Linked DNA regions of Macaca fascicularis. The protein of the gene in region 1 binds, or shares a complex with, the protein of each later gene. Links are inferred from orthologs where the notes say so. Each region holds a gene or a part of one and is shown in the gene's direction. Other genes may lie near its edges.

What was found. The genes of interacting proteins can lie anywhere in the genome.
Region 2: the proteins of KCNMA1 (region 1) and LRRC26 are in contact, whole or in part, in a cryo-EM structure (PDB 7YNZ), measured with the Homo sapiens proteins. The link is inferred for Macaca fascicularis from reciprocal best matches to the Homo sapiens genes KCNMA1 and LRRC26. Residues at the interface, in NP_001154824.1 of Homo sapiens: Pro78, Cys79, Asp80, Ser81, Arg82, Gln84, Trp88, Ala92, Ser93, Val96, Thr97, Glu155, Trp158, Met159, Ser161, Val162, Trp165, Cys206, Leu226, Leu227, Phe229, Gly230, Leu231, Phe233, Ile234, Asp251, Phe252, Pro256, Phe259, Val260; in NP_001013675.1 of Homo sapiens: Gly204, Cys205, Gly206, Cys207, Ala208, Arg236, Leu237, Ala249, Phe250, His252, Cys253, Ala254, Gln255, Leu257, Arg260, Asp261, Leu262, Val264, Val265, Tyr266, Leu268, Gly269, Pro270, Ser272, Phe273, Ser276, Leu277, Cys280, Leu281, Leu283.
Region 3: the proteins of KCNMA1 (region 1) and KCNMB4 are in contact, whole or in part, in a cryo-EM structure (PDB 6V22), measured with the Homo sapiens proteins. The link is inferred for Macaca fascicularis from reciprocal best matches to the Homo sapiens genes KCNMA1 and KCNMB4. Residues at the interface, in NP_001154824.1 of Homo sapiens: Phe98, Phe99, Leu102, Phe103, Leu106, Leu107, Arg109, Thr110, Tyr113, Leu114, Thr116, Val117, Asp238, Leu240, Trp241, Leu244, Pro327, Trp328, Asn330, Gln332, Leu367; in NP_055320.4 of Homo sapiens: Thr11, Glu12, Ala13, Glu14, Lys16, Ser17, Leu20, Leu24, Ile34, Phe35, Cys38, Trp39, His105, Thr164, His165, Val183, Leu186, Ile187, Leu190, Thr191, Ala194, Leu197, Ala198, Lys200, Ala201, Met204.

What each region holds. Positions count from the first base shown.
Region 1 is NC_088383.1:68,824,895-68,829,192, forward strand, and holds the start of KCNMA1 (calcium-activated potassium channel subunit alpha-1), read left to right. Parts: upstream 1-1,460; coding exon 1,461-1,829; intron 1,830-2,087; coding exon of another isoform or gene 2,088-2,498; exon of another isoform or gene 2,499-2,517; intron 2,518-2,523; coding exon of another isoform or gene 2,524-2,770; exon of another isoform or gene 2,771-4,298. UniProt on the Homo sapiens protein: Potassium channel activated by both membrane depolarization or increase in cytosolic Ca(2+) that mediates export of K(+). It is also activated by the concentration of cytosolic Mg(2+).
Region 2 is NC_088389.1:2,146,485-2,149,766, forward strand, and holds LRRC26 (leucine-rich repeat-containing protein 26), read left to right. Parts: upstream 1-1,458; 5' UTR 1,459-1,563; coding exon 1,564-2,236; intron 2,237-2,321; coding exon 2,322-2,656; 3' UTR 2,657-2,752; downstream 2,753-3,282. Other genes in the region: TMEM210 (transmembrane protein 210), read left to right, coding at 163-192, 429-618. UniProt on the Homo sapiens protein: Auxiliary protein of the large-conductance, voltage and calcium-activated potassium channel (BK alpha). Required for the conversion of BK alpha channels from a high-voltage to a low-voltage activated channel type in non-excitable cells.
Region 3 is NC_088385.1:77,096,464-77,100,687, forward strand, and holds the start of KCNMB4 (calcium-activated potassium channel subunit beta-4), read left to right. Parts: upstream 1-1,394; 5' UTR 1,395-1,829; coding exon 1,830-2,165; intron 2,166-4,224. UniProt on the Homo sapiens protein: Regulatory subunit of the calcium activated potassium KCNMA1 (maxiK) channel. Modulates the calcium sensitivity and gating kinetics of KCNMA1, thereby contributing to KCNMA1 channel diversity.

The sequences.
Region 1 (4,298 bases):
GGGGCCTGCACTATCCCCAGGTCAGGTCGTCCTGATCATCTCTGCCTACTCTCTCTTGGGCAGCCTCTGTTGCTAATAAGGAAAAAGGAGAGAAACCACCTGCTGCTGTCAGAGGCCACAGACTACCCACCGGCCTTCCTGACCCTGCCCTCCAGCCACACACGGAACATTGGGCACATAGGAAGCAGGGAGAAGAGCGAAGTAGAGGGTGGGTCGCTGTGTATATCCTGGCGTAGGGTCCTCCTCAGTTCCGAAGCCCGAGGGTCCTGGGGCGCTCAGTCTGTGGAATCCAGTTGACAGCTGGCACTCCTCCCCTACCCACTGGGGGCTCTTTTGGGAAAAAAACGGCCTGACCGGGGCTCCCCGCCATCCTCCCCGGGTACCCCACCGCTCTCGGCTGGGGGCGCAGCACCTTGGAGAGAGGCGCCTGGCCCTGCGCCTGGGCTGGGGGCGCTCTACCTGGCGCCCTGGGGGTCAGGGGCGCGTGCCGGGCCGCCGCCGAGGGGCCCTGCTCGCCCCTGCCCAGCCTGGAGCCCAGGCGAGCCAGCGCGGCGAGCCTCCTCCCCTCCCGCCTCGGGCGTCCTGAGCCCGCGCCCGCTCCAGTTGCTGCAGCTGCTGCTGCTGGCGGCTGCGGGGAGCGCGGGGCGCGCGCCGAAGAGGCTCGGGCGGCGAGGACGGGGACGAGGAGGAGTCGGAGGCGGCGAGGAGGAAGAGCGAGCGGAGGCCGAGGGGCTCAGCGGCGTGGCGACAGGACTCGGGGTCCGGGGAGCATGGGCTAGCAGGCGGCCACGGCCCGGTGGCCGGACGCGGTGAACCTGCTGCGGCCGGGCGCGCACTGGGGCGGGGAGCCCGAGCCGAGCGCAGCCGGGAGAGGAGGGCTGGCGCGGGGGCGCCAGGGCGGAGGGGGCCGATTATCCATTATTAACGAGTTGTCGCCTAATAAGCAGAGAGCGGCTCGTTAGCCGCGCAGGAGGCGCGCGGGGAAGGGGGGTCCCCGGCCGAGCGCAGCGCACACCCGTGGCGCACGGCGGGCGGCGCGGCGCCGAGGACACCCGGGCCCGCGCGCGGAGCCGGGGCGGGCCCGGGGGCGGCACAGACCCCGGGCGCGGGAGGCCCGCGGCGCCCCCTGGGTCTTGGAGCTCGGGGCCAGCGCAGCCCGGGGCTAGCGGGGCGCGGGCCGGGGAGGGGGAGCTGCCAGCGCTCTCCATCCCCCTCCCCCCCGGGCGGGCCGGCGGCCGGGGGGAGGGCTGGCGGCGGCGGCTCGCTGTATATATCTCGGCGCACCCCGCCAGGTCGCGCACAGCGCCCCGAGCCCAGGCGCCTCCCCGCCCCCCTCCCGCGCTCCGCGGCGGCGGCGGCGGCAGCAGTAGCAGCAATATGGCTGTTGATGGGTGTTTGGGGTGGCGCTGGCGGCGGGAGGAGCTCCCCCGAGCCCCTGCGCCGGCTGCCCGTTGCTAGCTATGGCAAATGGTGGCGGCGGCGGCGGCGGCAGCAGCGGCGGCGGCGGCGGCGGCGGAGGCAGCAGTCTTAGAATGAGTAGCAATATCCACGCGAACCATCTCAGCCTAGACGCGTCCTCCTCCTCCTCTTCCTCTTCTTCTTCTTCCTCCTCCTCTTCCTCCTCGTCCTCGGTCCACGAGCCCAAGATGGATGCGCTCATCATCCCGGTGACCATGGAGGTGCCGTGCGACAGCCGGGGCCAACGCATGTGGTGGGCTTTCCTGGCCTCCTCCATGGTTACTTTCTTCGGGGGCCTCTTCATCATCTTGCTCTGGCGGACGCTCAAGTACCTGTGGACCGTATGCTGCCACTGCGGGGGCAAGACCAAGGTAACGCGCGCCCCGGGCGCCCGCCCTCTGCGCCAGCCCCGCAGCTTCTCAGCGTCCCCTGCAGCCCACCTCCTCGCTCCGCGCCGCGCAGTGCCTCCCTCCATCCCCGCCTGCCTTCCCCTCGCCGCCTTCCCTTCCCTCGGCTCTCCCGGTGCTCTCGGATCGGGGCAGCGGGCGGCGCGCCGGGGGTGAGGAGTTGCCCCCAGCCGATGCGCTCCGGGACACGGACGCCCAATCCTGCCCTCTTGTTTATTGTAGGGTTGTTGGCGGCTGCGGCTGGGGCCGGGGTGGGGAACGCACAGTCTTGGGTGCCGTGGTGCGGGGTGGGGAGAGCCTACCCCTCGGGGACAGAGGGAGGTGGGGGCAGCTGGGTGCGTGTTCTACACCGCTCACCTGCCGGGGCTCGGCTCCTGGCGGTGGGCGAGAGGGAGGACATCCGCCCATACTTTAGGAACCTGTTGGGGAGATGAGTTCGTGGGGTCAGAAAGAAGGGAAAATCCTTTGGGCAAGGGAGAGAATAATTTTGCACAAGGGAATCCCAGGGGAGGAGCATGGCCCGAGATAGCAGGGGGACTTCGAGGGGCGAGAGAAGTTGGGGAGATCCATCCCAGTATTGGGGGCAGCCCATGGGGCTGCCACTTTCAGAATGTGTTGAGGTCGCATATCTGATGTAACCTCCCACTCCGTCCCTTAGGTGCTCTATTGGAACATACCCCAAGTTCTTCGGCCTCTGTTCCTTTGCCCCCAGGCCACCCACTTTGGGTCCCCGGAAATGCCACCAGCAGCGCGGAGCTGGAGCGGGGGTCCACCTGAGGCCGCGGTTTTACGCGGAGCTTCTTCCCTGGCGCTCAAGGTGGCTAGATGTCGTCGGCTTTAGCTATTCCTGGCGCAGACGCCCACCAGCACTGAGGCTGGCGACACCTTCGATGTATGGTTGCTAGGCTCACTGCCTGGTCTGTAGTCGTGTCCCTAGAGATGTCCTCCCTTCCCCACAGCTACTAGCTGGATTGGGGGGCCCGATGCTGTTTAATAGAAAACTGCAGAGTAAAAAAGAAAGAACTGGAAAAAAAGAGAGTGACCCAGCTGCCTTCTTTCTGAGTAATTCCCATCCTAGGAGACTTCACAGCACGAACCGTTTTGGAGGGAAGGGACATCCAAGGGAATAGTGCAGGGTAGACACACATTGCAGCCTCCACATGTTCACATATTTTCTAGTAAAGTTAAACTGAGGACCCCTCAAAGTTCCACAGGGCACAACAACTTGTAGCAGCCTCCTTAGCGGCTGAGAGAAGTAGGGAAGCCAGGGGCTATGGGTGAAGGCTGACTATGAAAACACCAGGGCGAATGGAGGCTCTCTCTCCTGATCATTAATTATACATCCTGTTGGGTGCTGGAGCTCAGCTGTGTTTTGTGGCAGCACATTTGTGTTTTGGAAAATACTGGTGTATTGGAACAAAGGGAGAAATATGAAAACCGTCATTCTCTTCGTCATTCTCTGACTTCTCCGGAGGCCTGCAGGTGTTGGCCGGAGAGTTTTCTTTGGAATTACCTTCTCAGTCGTAGAGGTTCTTTCTTATTTGTTAAGTGGGAAAACCTCTTACCTGCCAGAGAAGCCCTCAGGTTAAGCAAAGCCCTATACACCAGATCCCTGCCTAGCCTTCCTGCTGAGAACAGCTTATTCCTGGAGCCTTCAGATTCCCACATTCCCTCTCTCCATCCTTCTCCTCCACCTCCCCCAACAGTCTTGGGAATTTTGTTCCCCGGTTTACTGCGATTCAGCGACTGTCTTTAGAGGAAAGATAGCTCACAGTTGTGTGTGTCTGAAATGTTCCCTAGATGGAGTGATCTGGGTGAACTTTTTAACAGCTTGCTTTCTTTCAGGCAGTGGGCAATTTTGATCATAATGAAAACTTTTTCAATGATTCAAAATAAGTTGTGGTGTTTTTGTGATCCTGGGGTCCTAAACACAGCTTCCAAAATATTTTAACGCGAGGGAGTACATAAATGCAATTGCTGTGTCTGTAATGAAATGCTAATCCCATTGCACACACAAAGGATCTCCTAAATGATGAGCAAGCATAACTTCTGTCAGTTTACTCCAGAAAATAGGTTTTTGGCAACGATTAGAAAAAACAATTCATAAATATTTGGCTATATTTTGTAGCTCCAAGACCTGCTGAGTGGACATAAATGGAAGTTAGTTGCTATAAGAAGTCCGCCAGGGATGAGAGGTGATGGTTGTTGGTTCGGAAGATGTGAGGACAGTATAGAATGAGTGCAGGTTCCTTTTGATACCATGAGTCCATTTTAAAGCATGCCCAGAATCTCTTGATATCTGCCCCTAGATTCGCTCACTTAAGACATAGGTAGCCAGCTCATTATAAGCAATAATGGTAAGTTAAACCTTTTAAAAGCTTTTCTTTCTATGCTTGAGGTCTGTAATTTTATTGCAATTGTGTGTGTGTTTTT
Region 2 (3,282 bases), on another chromosome or scaffold:
GAGGCCAGGCTGCCTGCCCTGGGCCCTCGGTCTTGCAAGAGGGGCCTTTACCCCCGGGTGGGCTGTCACCTGGGGTAGGAATGGTGTTTCCTAGGCGTGTGTTGGGGGAGGTTCGGGGGCCCAACACTGTTCCAGGACTCATGTCGGTCTTCATCCCCTCAGTGAAACATGCCCGAGACTAGTGGACAACAGGTGAGCACCAGGGAGGCCCTCCAGGGGGGTGCGCTGTCTCAAGGGAGGTCCTGGGGTGGGGTGTGCTGTCTTAGGGGAGGCCCTTGGCGCAGGAAGCTATCCCAAGGGAGTCCCTGGAGGAGGAGGGGTGCTGTCCCAGGGGAGGCCCTTTGTGGGACTGCGCTGTCCCAGACACTGGCCTGCCCTGGAGGATCAGGACTCCACCAGCTTGTGCTGACCTGGCCCCTGTCATGCAGGTTGATGGAGAATTTTGGGGTCCAGGAAAATCGCATGGACCTGCACCCGGTATATGTGGAGTCCCAGCTAATGGACGCTGACCTGGAGGTCTCCATGATGCCGCCACTAGAGGATCAGAGCCTTGTGGCCATTCCCATGGAGGCTTCTCCAGAGGAGCCGCCGCCACCCCCGCCCCTACCACCTGAGTAGGGCTGAGGGCAGCTGGGGGAGGGGAATTAAAGTGTATTTAGTGATTGTGTACTGTCCTCCCTGCAGGCTCTCACACCCCTCAAGGCTGCATCATGGGGGGTGCACACGCATATGGGTCTCATCAAAGCAGGGCACCCAGGCCCCACACCAGGTTCCCCTGTTCCTCTGCCCCAGGGCAGGAAACCAAACCCATAATGTTTCCACCTTCTCTACCACAGCTGGTCAGCCTGGCTCCTCCCTACACCCTGCTTTGGAAAGCCCCTAGAACAGGACCTGAAACTGGCAACTCCGAAGGGCGCTGGGTTTAACAGGAGGACTTGGGCTGATACCGCTGCCCCACTGCACTGGTCTGTTTTTCTGACGGTCCAGGAGAGTCCTAGGGGGAGGGGTGGGGCAGGCACACCTCTCCTGCCTGGGGTGTGCTGTCTCCCTCCATCCCAAAGCCTGTCTCCAACCCAGGCCCCATCCACCATGGGAACGGGACCATCCCTGCGTGGGGGCCACTCCGCGTGTGCACGTTGGCATCACTTTGCTGAGCCTGGGTGGGGTCGAGACGGGTGAGGAGTAGGACCTCTGGGTTGCATTGCGTGCGGGAGCCTGTCGCAGCCGTGAGCTGGGTGGGTGCAGGTGGGCGGTGTCCTGTTGCTCAGGGCTCGGCGGGCGCCCGGTGGTGGACAAGGCGGGGCGAGGTGGTCTTGATAGCGCTGTGGCCGGCGCTAAGCCAAGAGTAGTTTGGAGCTCCGGGACAGGTGGCTGGCGGTGCCGGGCGTTGGCTGTTTGCCTTGCCTCCGCCCCAAGCGTGGATCCAGCCGTGGGACAGGAACTGCCTGCGCTCGGGCCAGAGTTAATATTTGTGCAGGCGCCGCAGGAAAGGGCTCCGCGGACGACGCGCTCCGGGGACACGCAGGCAGCGGGCCTCTCACCGCGGGTGCCGGGGCTGCCCCCATGCGGAGCCCTTCTTGGTCGCGGCCTCGGCCGTTGCTGCTGCTGCTGCTGCTGCTGTCGCCTTGGCCTGTCTGGGCCCAGGTGTCGGCCACAGCCTCGCCCTCGGGGTCCCCGGGCGCCCCGGACTGCCCCGAGGTGTGCACGTGCGTGCCGGGCGGCCTGGCCAGCTGCTCGGCACTCTCGCTGCCCGCCGTGCCCGCAGGCCTGAGCCTGCGCCTGCGCGCGCTGCTGCTGGACCATAACCGCGTCCGCGCGCTGCCGCCCGGTGCCTTCGCGGGAGCGGGCGGGCTACAGCGCCTGGACCTGCGCGAGAATGGGCTACGCTCGGTGCACGGGCGAGCCTTCTGGGGCCTGGGCGCGCTGCAGCTGCTGGACCTGAGCGCCAACCAGCTGGAAGCGCTGGCACCAGGGACCTTCGCGCCGCTGCGCGCGCTGCGCAACCTCTCACTGGCCGGCAACCGACTGGCTAGCCTGGAGCCCGCGGCGCTAGGCGCGCTCCCGCTGCTGCGCTCACTCAGCCTGCAGGACAACGAGCTGGCGGCACTCGCGCCGGGGCTGCTGGGCCGCCTGCCCGCCCTAGACGCGCTGCACCTGCGCGGCAACCCCTGGGGCTGCGGGTGCGCGCTGCGCCCGCTCTGCGCCTGGCTGCGCAGGCACCCACTGCCCGCGTCAGGTGAGCTGTTAGGGATGCGGGTTGGGGTCTGCAGGGCGGTGCGGCCGCTGCCGCCTGATGCCACGCCCTTGTCTGTGTCCCACAGAGGCCGAGACGCTGCTCTGCGTGTGGCCGGGACGCCTGACGCTCAGCCCCCTGACTGCCTTTTCCGACGCCGCGTTTAGCCATTGCGCGCAGCCGCTCGCCCTGCGGGACCTGGCCGTGGTCTACGCGCTCGGGCCGGCCTCCTTCCTCGTCAGCCTGGCCGCCTGCCTGGTGCTAGGCTCCGGGCTCACCGCCTGCCGTGCGCGCCGCCGCCGCCGCTGCCGCACCGCCGCCCTCCGCCCGCCGAGACCGCCGGACCGGAACCCTGATCCCGACCCCCACGGCTCTGCCTCGCCTGCGGACCCGGGGAGCCCCTCCGCTGCCGCCCAAGCCTGAGCGACCGCGGCAGCCTGGAGCGCTCGAAGCTTCCCCCATGCCTTTGCCCTCCCTTTACACTCTCTGCCGGGGTCAACAAGCGACACAGACCGAAAACTGCGTGACATTCCTTTAGGCATCACCACTGCATACACCGGGAGGTGGGGGGTGGGCGATGTGCGCCTGCACCCTGGGGACTGAGGGGCAGAGCGCGGCTGCGCACGGGCCGCACGGGGAAGGCACGCGCTCGGGCCCTGGGAGTGCTGGTCCTGTACAAGGTGGCGGGCCGGTCACGCACCCGGAGCGAGGGCGGGGGCGGGCGGGTGGCGCTTTCCCGTGCCCAAGGTGCAGGGCGGGGTTGAAGACAGTCCCGAGCCAGCGTCCGAGAAGGCCCGTTCTGGGCTGCAGGCCGGACGAGGAGAGGAGGGGCTCAGCCCTCTCGAGTCTGGAGGAGGCGGCCCGAGGCGGCGGGAGCCCGAACGCCTCTGGGAGGCGCTGCCAGCTGGGAAGTCAGGGACGGCCATGGGGGAGGGCAGGGCCAGCCCCGGCGTGTGGGGTCAAGGGGCAGACGGGGTGTGGGTGGGCGGTGCCGCAAGAAGAGGGGAGGGTGGAGCTCAGGCTGCAGAGGAGCGCAGGCGCCCGAGGAA
Region 3 (4,224 bases), on another chromosome or scaffold:
GAAATCAAGAATTCCATGATTCCATGTTTCCGTATTCATCAGGAACATAATTAAGAGTTTATTCATTTGCGACTTACAAACACAAAAAGTTTATGTCGTTTGCAAGGAAGTCAATATTCTGATTTTATTCTTCGAAATGTAGATATAAATAGGTCTCAAGTTTGATTTTATGATAAAAGTGTGGTTTGGGAAAAGGTAATTCCAACTTTTAAAAGGTCGCGAAAAGAATAGAGGCTGAAGCATAGTTGGGGTGGAGGTAATTGGGGGTGGAGGTAATTGGGGTTGGAGGGAGCAACGGCAAGTATTAAGAGCAGAACACAGGTCTAGAAACAGTACCTGTAACAGAGTGGGCCTGCCTGCTGCTGTCGCTTTAAACAGCGCTCCTGGAAAGCTTATCTACAAATCCTGGGGCGGGTCACGGGTGGCAAGACTCCTAAGGAGGGAAACCACATAAACGATTCTGTTCTTGGGAGCTCCGAAGCAAGTTCTGATGGGAAAAGTGGTATTTCTTTCCAGGCTGCAAAGCTCTCCACCTGTTTCCTTTAGTCTCAGTCAGCCCCAGCCATGGGGGCAAATCAAGTTGGGGTCGACCCGGCTGCCAGAGACGTAAGTTGCCACAAGGGTCACTGAGGACCTGAGCAGCAAGTTTCTTTTGTCCAGCCTCCTGCCCCCACGCACGTTGCCTCCACAGCAAACTCCACCTGACTCAGCCTGTTTAACTCCAATCCTGCAGCCCTCCCGGCCGCAGCAGGGTCAGGGGGCGCGAGTCTGCACCAAGACGGTTAGGAGGCCCAGGTCCTGGGACTGGACGGTTACCGCGCTCCCTGGGGCGGCGGCGCTGGCGGCGTGGGCACCGCTGGGTCACGCCTCTGGCACCGCCGCGCGCCAGCCCGCCCGTCGCATGGGGACCTGCGGTTGAGTAGTCCCCGGGGACCTCCCAGCGCACACCGCTAGCCTGGGGCTTTCACCTCGATCCGCCCGGCCCGGGCGGCCCGTGTCCTCCCACACCGCCACGCGTGCCCGCTTCCCGGGGTGCGCCCGGAGCCTGGCCGCTCTGCCCGCAGGTGACCAGTCCCCGTTTAGAGTTCAAGATTCCCGCCGCTCCACTTGAACTCCACCCTCCCCTCTGATTATTATTTTTTAACTTTCCCTCCGGTTAAGCTAAATCGATCTTAATCTTTCATCTCGGACGTCCCTCTAAGGGGACTCAGGGAAGATTCCAATTGCAAGTCGCCGCTGTCGCTTGTGCCCGTCAACCCCTCGCCCAAAGGAGACGCCCCCGGGCAGGGCGGGGCGAAGCGGGGCGGGGCGGAAGGGCCAGGGTCGGCGGCGGACGGGGCGGGGCGGAGCCTCCTCCTGCACGGGGGAGCCCCCGGGCTCGCCCCAGCTCAGGCACTCCTAGCCTTGGGGCAGCTGCCGGACGAGTCCGCGGAGAAGCGGCCAGCGGGCGATGGAGACAGAGAGACACCCGACGAGAGGAGGCGGGGTGGGGGAGGCGGGGAGAGTGCGGGGGCGGAGGCTGGCAGGGGGCGCTGGAAGCTGGAGCGGACCGTGCGCTCCCCGCGCCCGAGGGTGCAGGAGGCTCTGAAGCGGCGGCTGCACCGCGGGGCCCAGGCGGCGGCTGGGGGGCTGGGGGGCGCTGCCGCCGCCGGGGGCGTCGCTGGCCTCGGCCCCTTTGTTCTCGCGCGCTCCCCCTCGCCGCCCACTCCCCTGCTGTCGCGCGGCGGCGGCGGTGGCGGCGGCGGCTCCTCCCGCCCGAGGCAGTCGGGCTTGGCGCCGGGGGCGGGAGGGGGCGGGGGGAGCGCGCCAGCCGCCGAGAGTGGGGGGCGATGGCGAAGCTCCGGGTGGCTTACGAGTACACGGAAGCCGAGGACAAGAGCATCCGGCTCGGCTTGTTTCTCATCATCTCCGGCGTCGTGTCGCTGTTCATCTTCGGCTTCTGCTGGCTGAGTCCCGCGCTGCAGGATCTGCAAGCCACGGAGGCCAATTGCACGGTGCTGTCGGTGCAGCAGATCGGCGAGGTGTTCGAGTGCACCTTCACCTGTGGCGCCGACTGCAGGGGCACCTCACAGTACCCCTGCGTCCAGGTCTACGTGAACAACTCTGAGTCCAACTCTAGGGCGCTGCTGCACAGCGACGAGCACCAGCTCCTGACCAACCCCAAGGTAAGAACGCCCCGTGCACCCAGGGGCTTCCCGCGAGGGAGGTTTGGAGGCAGCGTCGGTGTTAGACTCCGCGCGGGGAGGGTTCGGCGAGTGCTCGCATTGCTGGGAGGAGACCAGGTGGCGCAGGCTGTACTCAAACCAGGAATGAGTACATCAGGGAGCCCGAGGGCACCGGTCTTTTAGGTGGGCTTACGCGCCGCGAACAGTGGTGCCCAGAGGCTTACTTTAAAACCTGTCTTGCCTGGTCTCAGATTTTGAGGCCTCGACCCAGTCCGGGTCCTGCGCCTACCGGACTGGGTTTGAAGAAGTGCAAGGAGCCAAGAAAGTTAACTTTTCCTCCATTTAAAGCCAGTGGTTAGCGGGGATCCACCTACTCCAGCTCATGGTCAAGGTTCGAGCTTCAGTTGGTCTCATCTAGAACTCAGATGGAATGACCTTCCTTGAAAGGTTGAGGGGACCCTCGAAAGTTGTGAGAGAGTTCCTTACCTTTTCGCTCTACACAGCCATTTTCAACTTGGGGTTCAAAGATAAGCTTTTGTGGCTTGACAAAACGACCTGGAATCAAATGTGGAATATTGCGGGTCCATTTTGGGAAGTACAGAGGGCTCCTAGTTTTCATGAGATAGATTCTCAAAAGAGTCTACAGGGAGCCTAGTTACCCTTTGTGTTTAGGGACAGTCAGGAGCCGTCTGGAGAACAGTAAAACTTGCTGAAAATAGAAAACCTTCAGTGAAATGTACCTAACATGACTTCTCTGACAACTTCTTTTGGTCTCGAAAGCAAACAAGAAGAAAAAGCAGAAGAAAAAAAAAAGATAAAACCTGGTTAGGACTCCCGGGATGGAGAGCAGAGAGAGGAAGTCTCAGAAAACTGTTCCCAATGGAGAAAAATAACTTATAAAAAGCAGTGTCCTTAGCCTGTGAACTAATTGAGCTTTGTAGTGTACCTGGTTCTGGTTCCTTTTTTACTTCCCTTGATCTTTTCTACTCTCCTTGTTGCTTAACTATCAAAGTAAAGGTATGTATCTTTTTAAAAGTTACTGACATTTTTCCTTTTTTTGAGGGATCAAGCAGAAAAACAGTCCAAAAGGGAATGAATCTTGTGTTCACAGGAACACTTTATTAACTGTAACAAGATATATTTGTATTAATCCAAAAGAAAAAAATTCTACATTAATATTGTAGTAGTATTTAAAACAAGCTTACCATCACTCTGCAATAAAACTTGTGGTCTTACCTCCTGAACAGTAAATTCTTGAATTTGAGACATTTTTTAAAATTTCTCAAATTATTTTTAAAAAATTTCTTTTTAAAAATATGAATGACTTCTCCCTCCCCCCAAAAAAGCTCCTGTCGACAGATGAATATTGATTTATCTTTAAAAGTATCAATAATATAAGCAGTAAATATAGGACTAAGAATATAGAATTTGGAGTATATTGTTGAAGATCTTGAAGAAGTGATAACGTCTCAAAGACAAATGTTGTAACTTGATCCTCTTAATGCTCAGGAATTTAAAAAGAAATCTCAGGGTTTTAGAAACATCATTTTTTTTTTTTTTTGGAATTAAATCAATAATGTCAAAGGTAAGTGCCAACCAGTAGTAATGATTTAGAAATTTTATGGCAGTTCATCATTTAGAAGTTGTTATAGTTGGTGAAACACTGCTAATTATTTTAAGATAGTGGTTCAAGCACTAATAAATTTCATATCTGTATATACATATATATGCACACACATTAATAAATGGCTAATATCTAATCAAGACATGGACACATTATAATTTATTACGAAAAGACTGCTTCACGATTTCAGGCAGTTTGAAGATCTGGCAGAAAAAGTAAAATGAAATCATTGGAACATTGATTTTTAAATTACCTAGAAGCAATCACAATGCTTTATGTAATACTAAGATTTCTCCTGTCTTTCTCTCTCTCTCTCCCCTGAAAATAATCATTTTTTTTTCCAGTGCCAGTTCAGATCTTGGCAACAGTTGTTTTGAAAAATTACCTGAACAAAATACATTTTATAAAGTATTCAGGAACTGACAGAACTGGAGA